Drosophila melanogaster: one gene and its partners. The protein of the gene in region 2 interacts with the protein of the main gene of each other region in a pairwise test. Each region holds a gene or a part of one and is shown on either strand. Other genes may lie near its edges. The genes, in order: Neos, unc-45 and Pex19.

Region 1 (3,931 bases), on a different chromosome or scaffold from region 2:
AAGTGACCTGCCTCAACCATGCCAAATCCACCAGCGTGCAGGGCAAACTTAAGAAGGTGCTTGGCGTGCAGCCGCACGATCAGCCGATTATTAACTACTGGAGCACACACCTTCACTAGTACAACCGATTACCGCACAGATTAAGGACTTTCTTTTTCACCTTTTGGAATAAAACTCTTTTATTGCCGTGCGATGGCGAGAAAAATCATTATCTTAACCAAAAGGATGCCGAATCCAGTCCAGTCAGCCAGTCGCTTACTTCTTGTAGCCGCAGCTGGAGCGACGACCACGAGCACGCTCGAACTTGCGTCCCTTAGAGCGGACATAGGGGCGGGTGTGCGAGTGGGGCACACCGGGAGCCTTGCCGAAGTGCTTGCAGGCGGTGCGGGCGGTACGCCTGCCCTGCAGCAGCAGCGTGTTCTTGCCGGTGGGCGATCGGAGAGCCAGTTGATCGAAGGTCAGGACCTCACCGCCGGCCTTCAGGATGCGCTCCCTGGCGGTCTGCGTGACGTGCAGGGCGCACACGGTGAGCTTGGGCACCACCAGGAGGCGGGCATCGTCGGTGACGGTGCCGACGACCACGATGGTAGACTCCGGCTGGTTGGCGGCCTTGAAGAAGCGAGCGATGCGCTGAAGCGATAGCGGCGGCCTGTTGATCTTGCTCATGAACAAACGCTTCAGGATGATGCGGTTGAACTTCTTGTTGGTGCGGCGCTGAAGGAAGCGGTACAGCTGCGGGGGCAAACAAAGAAAAAAAAACAGATTAATCTCCACATTCAGCTGGTAGTCAACGCCATCGAAAGCCTCACCTTGACCAGCAGGCGCAGGTACACATCCTGGGATTTGGGCTCGGTTCTGCGAACCTTGCGATCGTACTTGTGGTTGATATCAATACCCTGCAAACGAAACACACGTATTAGAACTGGTGTTTATGATCGGAAAAACAATTGGTCGGCATTCGAGCGTATGTTTACTACATATCCATGGAACCGATCAGTTAAACTGCTTATTTCATGGTATTTTAGCTTCACAAACTAGATGCCGCCCACACAAATTTGTTTTTATTTCATTCCGTCGCCAGGAAGCTTCGCAATGCACGTGGGCTGAGCCACAGTTGGCGTTTTAGGTTATTTGTCAGTTTCCTGCTGGAATCATTGCCGCACTTTTATCGGTAACCCACCATTTCTTCTGTTGAATGTATTAATCAACGCTAAAATAGAGAATTGGACATTAATTTAAGCTAAAAACGTGGAGCATCAATTTCTTGCACGTACCTCGCCGGAAACGAAAGCCAAAAGAAAGAAAATAGTGTGGCTGCACCGATCACAAGCAAGACGCTAAAATATCCAATTGTGCTGTTATGATAACAGCGTGCTGTTAAGGCGCAAGCTTCATTTATTTTCTAAGCGATATCCTAAGTTTATAAACAAAATTTCTAGCATTAATAATACTGTGGGTAAAACTTCCAAACCTCTAAATCAAATTAAAACAAAATTATATGTGAAAGCTCTTATTTGCTTGATATACAAGTGTGGCAACGCCGCTAATAACATCATTAGTATGACCATAGGATTTTTTTTTAATATTAGGGGGGTACAACAAAATATTAATAGTATCTGATTTTTTACATGGCATTTTTGTAAATTGAATTTCTAATAAGCAAGTTAATGCAAGAAGGTTCGGAAATCAAGCGACCCTTTTTTTTTATTAAAACTGATGCCAATTCTGAATAATAACTATTCAGCGGTGTGTATTTTTGCATTGCCTCGTCGGGTCACACTAGAATCTTCAGTTTCGGGTTTGTGTGCAGTAGAAAGCTTCAAATATCTATGTCTGATCCAGGAAGCGCCGGCTACAACATAACCAAGGATCCGGCCCTGGCAAAGAGTCGAATCTTCTTGGGCAACCTGCCGGTTTGCACGCGCGAGGAGCTGGTGAGCATTTGCCAGCCATATGGCAAAGTGCTCGGTTCGATGGTCCAGAAGAACTACGGATTCGTGCAGTTTGAAACGGAGGAGCTGGCCAATAAAGCCGCCTCCGCCCTGCACAAGTCCACTTTTAAGCAAAACATGCTCACCGTACGCAACGCCAGCATTAAATCGAAGGCGGCCAATGCTATCGCCAAAAGAAATTCAAATCAAGGAGGCCAGGTGACAGTTCAGGGTGGACTTGTGATGTCAGCGGCGGCAGCGGCAGCAGGTCAACCCCTCATCAATGATTGCGAGATCATAGTCCAAAATCGCGAGAATACGTAAGTTATGATCCCCAATACCTTATAACTCCAGACGATACTCATGGCTTTCATTACCTGCAGCAAATACGCAGAATACATTGAGGAGCGGCTAAAGAATTCCAGTCTGCGCGTGGATGTACTCTTTCCCAACGAGGACGTCTTGCTAGGCAAGGTCCTGGCCAACATCTCTTCGCGCGGCTGCTTGTATGCGGTATTGGTCACGCCGCAGCACGAGGAACACAACAGCATCACAGTAAACATTTTGTATGGCGTACCCGCTGAGCATCGCAACATGCCGCTGGAGGACGCCATCACCCTGATCTCCACCGATTTTAGGCTCAAAAAACAGCGCGACGCTGTCGTCTTACCGCCGTCAACATCCATACACAAGGGACAGCGACGACATCCCCAGGAAATGCAGGGGCTGCTGGAAAGGCTGGCAGACAATCATCCATTGACCGCGTCGCAGTACGAGGTGATTCTTAAGTACCTCGAAGGCGAACGCGAGGAGCAACTGAAGCGAGAGGTGGGCGAGGCCAATGCTCTGGCCAAGCTAAAAGCTCCCGATCCAGAGATCGAGCTGCAGAAGAAGATTCTTAGCATCATGAACAAGCCGGCAGTAACCGATGTCACCAGCGAGCTCATGTATCCCACTTTCGAGGCAGTCAAGGAGGACAGAAGGCTAATGGAGCTACTTGCTGACGATCGAGTGTTGGCGGCCCTGGAAAGTGTTTACAACTCGGATCTCAGACAGATTTTAGCCGAGTATTTATAGACTACCAATACTTAGTAGTATTCATTAATTTTAGCCATTAAGCATATTTAACATTTAATAAATGTAATACCTAATATATATGACGTAAATCTCGGGCTTCCAGAATGCATTTAATAAGTGTAAGACATTAACAACTAACAATTGGCTGTTTCTAAGGCCAGGATCGCTTGGCTTCGTGTCCCTCGTACTTTCCACGGTACTTGAGACCGGTGACTAGGGTGGAGCTCTTGGGGAAAGCCGTTTTGCCGTCGAATTTGGTATCTGTCTCGGGATGGAATCGCACGTACTCGTACTGGATGTGCAAATTCTCCGGCAGCTCGATGCGCTTCAGTGCATCAAACGGCACGGTGGTGTCCACAGCTGTTTGGTAGAAAGCGATAACATCGCTGACGGTGCGCAGTTCATGTACCTGGGAGTTGGGCACTCCGTGCTGCAGCTCCTGGAAGCACGCGTTCAGGAATTCGAATTTCTCGGAGAGATTCCCCAACTGGTCGGATTTCAGTTGAAGCGAGGCGGCTACGGTTCGAATACGTTCGGCGGCATCTGCAGGTGGGGAGTACGGCTTATGGGGACGCAAGAAGCTACAATCAGGAGAATATTTACTTGGTTTTTATGTAAATAAATTAAAGAAAGTGCTTACCCCTTGGCGGCGATGGACTCGCCGACAGCTGAAATGGTGCTGGTTTTGACGGGCTTTGCTTTTGCGGCCTTGGCGGCGGAGGCAAAACTCCTATGCAGGCTTCCCGCAAGCTAAATTCATGGTGGCATTGGATTTTAAGTGAACATTTTTATTATTTTTTACTTACAATTAGGGTTTTACGTAAAATCGCTGCCATTGGATGTGACCAGATTGAAAACAATGCGGCATGGCAGTCAATACTGAAAATATATTCACTATACTTACAGGTAAGGAGATGGTAACA
Region 2 (6,506 bases):
CCTGGGGGGGGGTAATTTGCATATTTTCCGCATGCGCAGACGACTCGAGTCGGCCAGTTTATTAAACAAAAATATTGACATGAAAATCGGCTTTCGATTTCCACGGGACAAATTGGGCGGCACCAACTGTGTTGCACCACACTGAACCGCACCGCGCCACCAAACCGAGATTAAATGGAAAGTGAAGATGCACATATGTACGTCGCCAATCAAGCCGATGAAGCTCTAAGCCAGTGCTTCCGATCCACAGTCTTAGCAAACTCTTTGCCACACGGTCTGTGTCTGTCGTCTGTGTAATTAGGACAAAATGTCTCATTTTGACCAATGCCGAAAAAGTAAATACAACCGAAACCGAAAGTTTCTGCTTCTTGGGGATTAAGTCTGGGATTATTTTCTTTATTATCGATTTCTCAAATGGAAGAAGAGTGTACATTTATTATGAAGTAGCCGAAAAACTCGATTTTCAATATTAAACAACGCTATAGAAATGAATTTCAATTTGCTAATATATTTCCACGGAAATATCCTTTTTACATTTTTTAAAATGTCTTTTTTTACCATTTTTTAAAATGTTTATTCCCCTAACTTAATTGTTTTTATACACCAATTTTTTAAATATATTGCCAAGCATTAGTTTGTTTCCTTCTGGGGTCTTACATCAACATATTTTATTTCAGCTTATATCCCTTTAGCATATAAGGGTCCTGAAGAATTCATCTTCCTCATTACTTTACCTTCTAACCACGTTATTTATATTGGTCAAATTGAGCACAGTATATGGTTTAAGGAGAAGAGGAAAATGCGAAATAATCGCGGGAAAAGGAATGCCAAATGGCCAAAGACAAAAAGCGGGATGGATTTCGGAATAAATGCCGTTAAGTCATGGCAACCGAATCATAGCAACCGAAACCCTCGGCCATTTCCCACTGCGCTGAGCCAAACTAAATTAAAGCAACTATTATTTATTTAATCACACTTCATTGAGATTGAGCAATCAGCTGGAAGAGATGCTCGGCTCGGAATTCCCGGCTACCTGACACTGCAACACTGCCGCATCAGAAGCATCTTCTGCATTAGAGGAAGTCAGCTACCTCGAGCTGGCGACTAATGTGTGGCAATGAATAGAAAACGTACCGAGGCAGTGCACCGGGGAAAATGGAGTCGGTGGGAAAACACTAGGCCATCCTAGTGGCCATCCATATTACAATCCAAATCACATTAGGCCGCAGCAATTAGGCTTGGATTAGGCTTGGTCTGTATTAAATTAGTTAAATTAAAAAATCGCGTATTCATGAAATAACTAAATAATATATTATATTACCCACTAAGGAATAAAACAAACTACCTTTAAAAACGAAATAAATTCGAACAATATTTATAAAACAGTTAAGTACATTTGATATTTTGAAAAATAAGTTAAATTTCGCGATGACACTGTGAGTAAAGTAAAGAAGATGAAATGGAGGAAAAACAAAAGGCACTACAAACGAATTTCGCTTAATCATCGATAATCTCAGATATTTTCGAATTTTCGGCAAACACATCGGGGATTTCCGCGTTGTCGGACCGCTCGATGATCCTATAACGCTCCGCCGCCGCCAGGCACTGGGTGGCCACCTCTCGGGCCTTGGCACGCGTGTCATCGGGCAGCTGCCCCAAACCGCTCAGCAGTTCCATAATGTCCGTTTCAAACAGCTTTTTGGCGATCTCCTCTCCAGCATTGATCATGTTTAGAATAATCACAATGCCTCGATGCTGGACCGCCGGACTGGGATTGGCGATCAGAGTGTGCAGAATGTCCAGCCAGCTGGCGATGGCCAAGATCTTCTCACAGCACTTGACAGACACTGAAGTAATAATGGCCAGAGCTCCGGCACAAGCTGTTGCGGTCTCCTCGTCCTCATCCTCGCAGAGAAGCGCCAAGAACTTCACTCGGTCGTTATTGCCCTCGAACATTTTAATGACATCCTCACTCATAACCAGATTACACAGACACTGGGCAGCTGCACGAGTCAGGTACAGATGGTCCTCCATCAGATAATACTCTATCTTGGAGACCCCCTGCTCCTTGATAATCCTCTGGCGCACGCTCTCGTTCATGCTGGCTAGATTGGTGAGTGCCATTAGCGACTCAAAATTCTCCAGCGCTGTGCAGTCCTGTTGCAAAAGGTTCAACAAAGGACGGATTACATCAAGCGATCGCTGGCCACTGAAAGATACTTCCGGATTAATGGTTATGCCAATCCTAGCCAACGCCTGGGTAGCATGGCGTTTTCCTTTCTCAGTTCCCTCAAGCGCCATACGAAGCAGCGCCTTAACGCCGCCTTCTTGAACCACTTTTCCTCGCAACTCTTTCAGTCCACAAACCGCATTCAAAACCCTGGCAATCAGCTCCTGTGAATTGTGGCTTTCAGTTTTCGCCAGTGCACAAAGAGCAGTTGTTATGCCCTCATTTGCCAGCACAGTAATACGCTTATTGATGAAATCTACGTCGTCCAGCTCGTGCTCCTCCGGTATGTGTTGCTTAGCAAACTTGGCAAGTTCTATCATCTCAGGCAACATCTCCTGCTTCTCATACGCATTGCACAGATTCACAAAAGTAGTGACCACACCATAGAGACAGGACTGATTTCCTCCGCGGGCCAAATCCATTAAAGCGTGAATGGAAGCCTTATCCTCAATGAGCTTCTCCTTACATTCAGCATCCAGTGTTAAATAAGCCAGACCATCGGCAGCCCAACGACGGATATCCTTATCCTTTCCAGGTTTGATCAAAAACCGACGGCATGCCTCCGCCAGCTTAAGGGCAGCTCCATCGCCAAATGGTCGGATGGCCGCGTCCTGACCGCCGTAGCTACCCAGCTTGCAAAGACCCACCAGGGCGCGTACTCTAATACCATCGTTCTTGGAGTGGTAGAGCCGCTTTAAAATATCTACTCCCTGCTCACAAAGAGCCTTGGCCTTGTCCTTTTTAGAGGAAGCGGCGATTAGGCACTCACATGATACTCGCTGCTGCAACTCATCGTCGGTCGTAGCCATTGCTAGAATCATCTGCAGTATTCCTGTTACAAATTTCACCATTAATTAAGTACCATTTTCTAAATCCAATAACAGAACTCACCTTCTCTGGCCACAACCTGATTGCCCACATCCAATGGACCGTTAAGCAGGGCAGTAATCGCAACGGTGACCCGCACCTTGGATTCCATATCAGGCGCCAAAAGCTTGTCCTTAATGTATTCGTCGATCTGGTCCGTGAACCGTGCCTTAGCTTCATCGTAGTACATGTTCTCATATATCCGGGCCAGACAAACGGATGCAATTGTGGATGATGAGCCTGTGATATCCATTGCACTCTCGTACTTATAATCCTCCAGTTCGGAGCACACATCCAGCAGACGGCACAGTCCCCTGATCTCAACCAGGCGTTCGGCCCATTCTAGAGCTGTGTAGTGGACATTCCTGGTTATAAGCTCAATAACGCCATCCCTAGCTGCTCCAGAAATCGTGCGATCCGTGATACTATAAACTAGGCATGTTAGGAGAGTGTCAATTTCCCGGTTGTTCCTAGTGCACAGCTCCTTCTCCGGCTTCGAATCGGGTTTGTTCTTAAGCCCAGACAATGCGTTCAATATTGTTTGTAGGCAAAACTGGGCGGTGGACACACAGTTCTCGTGTTTTTGGTCGAGAACCCTCATGAACCACGGTACTCCGAGTTCAGTTAAAACGCCCTTTGTACGCTCGACGCTATTTTCGCAAAGAGCAGCCACCAAATGCACCATATTCACATAAATGTCCTGATCCTTTTCCACCTTTGTTAGTGAGGCCACTTTGGCGATGCAGTGGTCCTTGTAAAGCAGTTCAGCGCCAGTCTGCTCTTTGGCCAAAACTACTAGGTTATTGGCTGCCGCGCGACGCTTATCGATGGGCGTGGCCAAATCAAAAGTAAGATCCATCATCTGCTTGACTTTTGTGGATGTCTTGGCATTACGGGCAGAGCGCTCTTCCACGACGACATGAAGCCTCTGGAGCATGGGCTGTACGGTTTTGTTGCCGGGATCCGCTTTAAACAAAGCGGTTGCGTCTTTGTAGGCCTCTTCGAACTTCTCCAGAGCTTCGTACGCCTGAGCCCTACGGAACAGTGCCTTGGGATCCCCCGGAGCCGCTTTCAAAGATTCAGTGCAGTCCTCTACCGCATTTTCATACTTTCCTAGCTTCAGATAAGCGGCAGCACGATTCTTATAGAAAACCGCCAGCTCCTTGTGCTTAGAGCCCGCCTTAATGGCTTTGCCATAGTGCTCCACTGCCTCCTCCCAGCGGGAGGCCTTGAACGCCTCGTTGCCCTTATCTTTGTAGCTTCCTGCGTCGGACACTTCCTCGCTGTTGATGGTGTTTGTCATGGTTACACAATTTTCTGTATAAAAAGACAAAAACTGTAGCTGCAACTTTTTATTGTTAACGGATGACTCACTATTCAGTTCGGTTTTGTGCCTTCTGGCCTAAATTTCGACCACCAGAAACTTCTCGATCGCTCTCGAATACACACAGATACAGTTGCAGGCGTTTAGCGGGAAAATCAAGCACGCTGCGTGAGACTATTGAACCGGCTGCTGCCCTGTTCTATATATAAATAAAAATTGAGAAGACTCAAACCAAAATAGTTGCAACAGTTGCCATTCGCAGCGAATCGGCCAAACAGCTGACTGGAACCGTGGAGCTTACGTTTTGCTTTTTTCATCATAGCCCAAACAGCTGACGAATTTCAACTTTACTAAAGTCTTAAATTTTTAACTAAGCCAGGGATTACAAATATTTTTCTGATATATCTGTAAAAACTTTTTTGAAAATCATTTATTCTGTAAATATTTTCAAAATCTATCTTTTATAAATTAATCAATTACAAGCTCTTTTTCCTCTTTCAGCTAATTTTTTGCTGTACCTGCACCATTGGTTCAGAATACTATCGATCTATCGATAACAACGATGGCGAGGGTGAACAAGTTCAAGTTCAAACAGCTGATTCGATTTGTTTTTAATTTTCATGTGATATAACGAAACCAAAACAAGTGAAGCGGGCGAAAGAACACATCCAAGATGTACCAGCACAGCCCAATGTTGTGGCGACCTCTGCTTCTGCTGCGTGGCCTCTACCTCAGTCAACGCCACCAGATGAGCCACTACGACGCACTGGGAATCAGGCGTCAGTGCACGCAGAACGAGATCAAGGCAGCTTACTATAAGCTCTCGATGCTTTATCATCCGGACAGGAACCAAGGAAGTGAGAACGCAGCCAAGAAATTTCGGGAGATCAATCAGGCTTATGAGATTCTGGGAAATTACCGGCTGCGTCGACTTTACGACAAGGGAATCGTACATACGGCAGGCGCCCAATATGCCCAAGATGTCCACGATGTAGCGGAACCCGTAGTCGAGGACGATGCGGAGACTAAGTTTTACAAGTCGCGATTTCAGAAATCGCGTGTATCTGATTCTGCGGGCCGTACGCCCATCTATGACTTCGACGAGTGGTCGCGAAATCACTATGGTAAATCATTTGACCGGAGACAAGCCGCCCAGGCCAAATACGATCGAATAAAAGTGCAAAGGGAGACCAACAGAATATCAGGCCAGACTGACATGGTCCTGCTGGCCTTTATCTTTGCCGGAGTGGCCGTATACCTGATGTTCCTCGCCGAAAGCTCCTACGACACTCCCAAGCAGAAAGCGAAGGAACGATACAGACGCGATCAAGAAGAGCGAGAACAAAAACTAGTCGGGAAGCAATCTTAGAATTCTCTAGTCTTCAGCGTACATAGACTTAAGTTAAATGAATTAAATTCGAAACAATATAATTTTGTGAATTAAAGATGTGTCCGTTTTACTTAAGATGAATAGCAGCGGGACTTATACATATGTATATAAACATCCAACGGCATTGTAATATCCTTAATCTGACTCAAGATCTAAAACATATAGACAAAGCCGCAATTAGAGATTAGGTCTGTCACTAATTTTAAATGTAACAACTTTATTCAAAATTTGCCGCTGCGCTTGCGTGCAGTGTACTTTGTGTCAGGACGGGTTTCCAACCCCTGGCGACGTCGACGCTCTTTCTTGGCTAGGATCCAATCGCGGGATTTCTTTGGCGCTTTTCCCCGAGCCTCACGGCAAGCATCACGTTTCTTTATATAGTTTACACGACGTTCCTCTTCAGGTGAGCCTACAAAAGCAAAGAAAAATGATGTGAAAGTAATTATTAGTTTTCTATAATTATTATTATTAAAACTAACCCAAAGCCTGCGGCAGCTCAGCAGATCCTCCAGTCATGAGCACCAGGTAGTACTTCTTAGCCTTGGCAGAGTTTGGATAGTCGACAACCAATCCTCCGTAGAATCCCGCCTTCATGGCTTGCGAGGTTACCATCTCGATCTGATCGGAGTTCTCCGGATAAAATTGAAAGACAGCTCGCGCGGTGCGTGTCAGACAGGAAAACAAGGTGGTAAAGA
Region 3 (5,852 bases), on a different chromosome or scaffold from region 2:
AAGATTCGCAACAAGTCGTCGGTGAAGAAGATATGCAAAAGCGCCGAGCGCGAGGAGTTCACAGACGTCGTGATCGTTAACGAAGATCGCAGAAAGCCCAATGGGCTGCTGGTCATTCATCTGCCCAATGGTCCCACTGCCCACTTCAAGCTGTCCAACGTGAAGCTCACCTCGGACATAAAGCGCGATCACAAGGAGATAACCAAGCACAGGCCCGAAGTGATCCTGAACAATTTTACCACACGTTTGGGTCTGACCGTGGGCCGCATGCTGGGTGCCCTCTTCCATCACGATCCCGAGTTCCGCGGCCGCCGAGCGGTGACGTTCCACAATCAGCGAGATTACATATTCTTCCGTCACCACCGCTACGAGTTCACCAAAGAGGGAAAACGCGTAAAGCTGCGCGAACTGGGGCCGCGGTTCACCCTGAAACTACGTTCCCTGCAGGAGGGCACATTCGACAGCAAGACCGGTGACTATGCCTGGATAATCAGCAACAAACGGCACGCCATGGAGTCGCGACGTCGCTTCTTCCTCTAGGTGTATTTCGAGGCATTGTATTTAGGTATAGAACTACTTAATAAACCAACAGTTAATACGAAAATAATAGCTTGATTGAAGAGAGAGGTGATAACCATTAGCGACCGCCGTATTGTTTTGTCGGTGATAAAATAAAATACAAATTTGCCTTAGCCTAAAAAATGTGCAACACTCAACAGTTAACCAATTGGCACACCACGAGACTATCGTGCTCCGTCAGCCACTACATGGTTGGGCACTGGGGACCGGGACCGCCGGCTGCTACGCCGGCAGTGGGATCGCCGAAGGGCAAGTCGCCGCCCGTCTCGGCCAGAATCTCTGGCGGCGGCTGGCCGTAGTCTTGCAGTTTGCGCATGTCGTCCAGCACGACGCGGAACTTCTCTCGCTTCACGGCGGCCGAATCCTCGGTCTTCTCGCTCTGTAAATGCCCCTCAATCACCTTGTACAGCTCCATCTGCTTCTGGTACCTGTATGTATTGGTTTCTCAATAAAAGTATCTTATTGCGAGTTGATTTCGAGCATACCTTTCCTTGTCCTCAGCGGAGAGCTTGGCGTCGTTCTCCTCGAGGTACTTGGGGTACTTCTCCAGCAGCTCCCGGATGCTGGGCAACAGAATCTCCGCCGAGAGCAGGCTCTGCATCATGCCCTCCATGAATGGTAGGAACATGTTTCCATCACCCTCGCCAGCCTGTCAAACGGGGATTGTTTAATGATTGAGCAAGGAGAATTCATATTTCATTTTCAGGATGCATACCCCTTCAAGATTCAGTGAACCAAACATGCTGGCTATGTCGTTCTCCGAGGCGGGAGCAGCCAGGTTCTCGGAGCCCTCTTGCAGACCCTTGAGAGCCTGGGAAATGCTATCAGAATACTTGGAGACATCCTCGTCGGTGGCCGAATTTTCGCCGCTCAAGGTGAGCGCTGCCGCTTCGGCCATCTTTTTGAAACCGGCCATGATCTGGTCGGGATCCTGGGGCAGCGGCGGAATATCGCCACTGGGCGTGTCCGGACCTCCGAAGAGCGTGTTCATGCGATCGGCCAGCACCTTGGCCTGCTCACTGAAGGCGGATAACAGGTCAGAATACAAAGTTCAAGTGCCGCGTTGCACTGGCGCATTGACTCACATGAAAAACGCATCTGGATCCTCGGAGCCCTCAGGTCCAGCGTTGGTCGCCACATCCGATGATGCGGACGGCTCCTTTTGGTCACCGGCACCACTTTTATCGAAATCCTGGAGAGCACCTGTGCGAAAAGTGGACGACGCAGTGCGCATTATGTAAGGGGTCGAGAAGGGATCGCCAAAGGCATTTCCGGGCTGTACTCACTGTCCAGCAAGTCGTTTAATTCATCGCCATTCTTCTTTTCTTCGGACATTGTGCAATTTCGGGATGCTTTTCCTTGATTTCGTGGTGGGTGGGAAATGGTAAAAAATAAAGACTGACTGAATCAATCAGTGGGACCGTTCATCTGCTGCTGGTGCATACCGCAGTCAGCTGAACAGGTGTGGCTACACTGACTCACATCTTAGTGCGACCGCATTCGTAACGGCTTTTTAAAAGGATGCGAAATGATAAGAAAAAAATTTAAAAATTAACTTTTCTATATAATTGTTGGTTTTAATTTTAAGATTTCAGTTTCGGTTAGGGCTTAGACAAAATTCATATTACTTAAACAACTTTTAAATGCATTTAATGTTTTTTTTAAGAAAAATAGCTATATTTTGTTTAATTTTTAGTAAATATATTCCTTAAATTAAGAATTCTTATTTGTTACTATTATATAAAGTTCAAAACAAGTTCAGAATACCTATTTCGAAATAATCTGGAATGCATTATTATTGTGGACTACACATAAGTGTGAAAATGTCTAGCCATTTAATTCATATAACATATATTTATTGTCAATGAAAATTTCGAGTTTTGATTTAGAAAATTATATGTCTTACAACAACAAGTCATCAGTACACCCATCTACAATATAATAGTGTACATATTTAAATCTAGGCCTACATCAGACTAATAAACTTAAATTCGAAGCACCTCAATATCCCTCCTGTCTTGAGAGACAAACCAAGGACATTAGTCGAAGATTATCTAAAATAATCACCCAAAATATTTACGCATCTTCTGCGAAACTCTCAGCCAATCTCCCCGGGAATGGCACCTCGCTGTGCGCGGACGGAGATCGGCGACCAAACTGCGACCAGAGCCCAAACCGCACATACTGAGTGGTGAGGGAGGGGTCGCAAAACCATCAAGGTCACGGCGCGACGCTGATGCGCGACCAATTCCGAAACCAGAACGTCACACCCATGGACGGGACACATGGATTTTGCAGTAGGGCGTCCAGCTCTAGGTCCACTCCCGCCCGAAGGTCACCGCTGCGGAGGAACCCCGCTTGGTTTCCTCAATTCCGCTCATATGGTCAAATGGCTGGGCTGGGATGGGCTGTGCTCTTTGCGACTTTAACCGCACGGTTTACCAGAAGAGCAAAACGAATCTTCGATTCGGTACGCCCACGCAGCGAAGTATTGTGGTAAATTTGTGTTTTTTCCTCTATTTCCACTATTGGGGCGGAGTTTTCTTCGGTCAGTCGGTTCTCTGAAAATGTCAGCATGGGCGGAGCTTCGACTGAAATAATGCATAATTTGGTGTTTTATTTTGCGGCTTAGGGTGGAACAAACCGCCTGAAACTCTTACATTTCCTACAGAAACAGGGTAATTTGACTTTTTATGGGCTGTAATCCATTTACAGAATATGCATACATATAACATCAAAAATTTCCCTAAAAACCATAACTCTCTTTTTAGGGAAAAATTTCATTCTCTATTCGCTGCGAACATCAGAGTATATAGTTCAACTTCAAATTTCTTAGAACCCAAGCAGTTCAGTTCAAAAAGTCAAGACAACCGTCAAAAAGTCAAAACAAAAGTCGAAAACGTAAAAACCCCTTCGTTGGCCAAAACAATGGTTTTTGGGTCACACTCACACCCGATCCCAATAAACCAAGAAACTCGCTCTTTTTTGACATAATTTTTAAGGCACCAACAGGCGCGTCATAAAGTTGTTTATTCCGATATAATCGGTTTGCTAGACTAGCTGAATTTACCTGAATCTCCAGCTCTATTTCCCCAGAAGAGGAAGGATTCCAACCGTCATAAAATGCCCATCAGCGTCTTCACAAGCATCTACACTTCCCTTCCTTTTTGCAGGAACTTTGCCAGGATACGATCCTGTACATCCTTTTCATATGCTGACTGCGATTTCACGCTCGCTGATCGCATCGCTATTTTTTTCAACATTTCCGCATCCTTCCAGCGAAAGATGCTCGATTTTACGATGCACTGAACAGGATATAATGGATTTCGCGATTGTTCGGTAATGACGATGATTGCGACTTTATAGACACATTATTTATATTGTGGCTGGTGTCGTGTGGCTATGGTAATAAAGTGTAAATAATAAGTATATATAAAGGAGTAAATAAATTAAGACACTAAATATATGTAATATATATGTAATATAAAAGGAATAAAAGTTCTTTAAAATAAAAAAATTATACTAATTAAATTAAACTCTGATTCTAGAAATCTGAATGTTACATTACATTCAAAATAACTTGTAGCTTTAGTACACCTTGTATTAATCATTCAAGTATCACAAAATATAAGATATTTATATATGTTTCGACATATTTTTGTGTCTGGCCAGGATGGCATTATCTTTTGATATTTTGGCCATGGTAATTGCGATTACAAGGCTCCCAGTCATTCCTGGAAAACGCTCACTTTTCCTTTGAAATCCTGCCCCGAAAAGAAGAACTGGAGAAGTCAACTGCTGGCAGCTTCCCGAAAGACAAGACACCCACATCCACCATCCAACATACAACATCCACCATCAACCATTGCGCAATGGGGCGAGCTCTTCATGCTCCGACACCCATCGCTCTCCATCAAAGTGGCCATGCAAATGAGCCCTTGCGTCTGCCATACGTTTTCCTCTAGAGGATTGGGTCGAAGGGTAGCCGACTCCAGATGATGTGGGTTGCTCTGTCTGTGCCCCCCCAGTCGCTGTTCTGTTTGATTAAGCGGAAATTAAGTGTGCGTTTCGGTTGCAGCCTCCCAATTCGCCATGCCCTGCTTTTTTTTTATCGTGAACTGCAGCACATATATGTTTTATGTTTCCCAATCGATTTGGTGGCTCAAGAGCTGCTTTTGGCTTCCTCAGGTCAAATAGTTTTTATTACAGTGGTTAGGAATTACTCCCAATTAAGTTTCATAGAAATTATAGATTGCTAAAACATAAAACCACTTCTAAGTAGGACATCATGAGAAACTTTTTAAGCTCTTCGCATAAAACTGAAGATTCTTTCCCACTAATGTATAAATAATCACGGTCTCTGCAGTCAATTTTTCCATTGGCAATGCATTTTTTTTAATAGAAAACGCCGACCGTAGCCAGTGATTAATGAAACAATTGAATGATTTTATTTAAATTCGCATATATCCGATGCAAACCGTGGCTAATGGACAAACGCCGCCGAAGAGAAGATCCAACATCTCCAAATCGAGATTCCATAGAAACACTCGGGATGTGAGAAAAACGCCACCTACTTTGTGGACTCTACGCCGAGAAAACTAATGATGTTCTTTCGCCATCCATCGAGTTTGTCCATTATAGTAGAGTATATGATCGATCCGCGATCGAACCTGATCGACTACCACAAAGCAGGGCAATTACAAATCGGGGAACTGGACAACAGGTTGCCGGCTGAGTTGGGAAATATGGATGTGGATGTGGCTCTGTGACTCTGGATGGAGATGGAACCCGGCCGGAAAACAAATTAATCTTGTTGACGTCGCAGCCTCGTCACTTTCTTCGCCAGGTCGAGGGCCCAGGTGTTTGATCTCGACCTGATGCTCCGATGCTACGATCTTCTGTTGGACAACGATGGGTTGCGCCTACATTTGCGCCTTCTGTTTAATGATCAATTTGTTGGCCTCCGTCGCCGTCTCTCAGATGTGTGCCGACAGCGTTTAGCAGTCGATTGGGCTCGGGATTGGTTTGTTTGTGCCCCGAGTTGCCGGGTTTGTTGTGCCCCAGGCTAATGAGTTTCTCGAAAGTGGGTGTATGTGGCAGGGGCTCCCCTTTTTGCCCCTGGGACACTTCCTACATGATCGGCGAAAATTCAGCCAGACTCTGTGACGTCCCAATACACAGGAAGATAATCCCTTTCAACTAACTAACTATTTATTATTTAATTTATAGCTTCTTCATTCTTATACATTTAGGTACTGAAAAATATATATTCT

What was found.
Region 1: the proteins of unc-45 (region 2) and Neos interact in a two-hybrid assay, tested with the Drosophila melanogaster proteins (one large-scale study listed by BioGRID).
Region 3: the proteins of unc-45 (region 2) and Pex19 interact in a two-hybrid assay, tested with the Drosophila melanogaster proteins (one large-scale study listed by BioGRID).

Annotation. Positions count from the first base shown.
Region 1 is NT_037436.4:7,240,046-7,243,976, forward strand, and holds Neos (neosin), read left to right. Parts: upstream 1-1,582; 5' UTR 1,583-1,829; coding exon 1,830-2,251; intron 2,252-2,314; coding exon 2,315-3,008; 3' UTR 3,009-3,094; downstream 3,095-3,931. Other genes in the region: BHD (Birt-Hogg-Dube), read left to right, coding at 1-119; RpL18 (ribosomal protein L18), read right to left, coding at 256-732, 810-896, 1,181-1,183; mRpL50 (mitochondrial ribosomal protein L50), read right to left, coding at 3,160-3,589, 3,649-3,758, 3,815-3,844.
Region 2 is NT_033777.3:8,031,496-8,038,001, reverse strand, and holds unc-45 (uncoordinated 45), read right to left. Parts: upstream 4,702-6,506; 5' UTR 4,472-4,701; intron 4,415-4,471; 5' UTR 4,401-4,414; coding exon 3,122-4,400; intron 3,063-3,121; coding exon 1,498-3,062; 3' UTR 599-1,497; downstream 1-598. Other genes in the region: CG11035 (uncharacterized protein), read left to right, coding at 5,095-5,790; CG10903 (uncharacterized protein), read right to left, coding at 6,033-6,220, 6,291-6,506.
Region 3 is NT_033779.5:12,089,924-12,095,775, reverse strand, and holds Pex19 (peroxin 19), read right to left. Parts: upstream 3,955-5,852; 5' UTR 3,650-3,954; exon of another isoform or gene 3,418-3,649; intron 2,089-3,417; 5' UTR 1,915-2,088; coding exon 1,866-1,914; intron 1,783-1,865; coding exon 1,665-1,782; intron 1,599-1,664; coding exon 1,295-1,598; intron 1,229-1,294; coding exon 1,065-1,228; intron 1,008-1,064; coding exon 764-1,007; 3' UTR 541-763; downstream 1-540. Other genes in the region: CG6712 (uncharacterized protein), read left to right, coding at 1-540.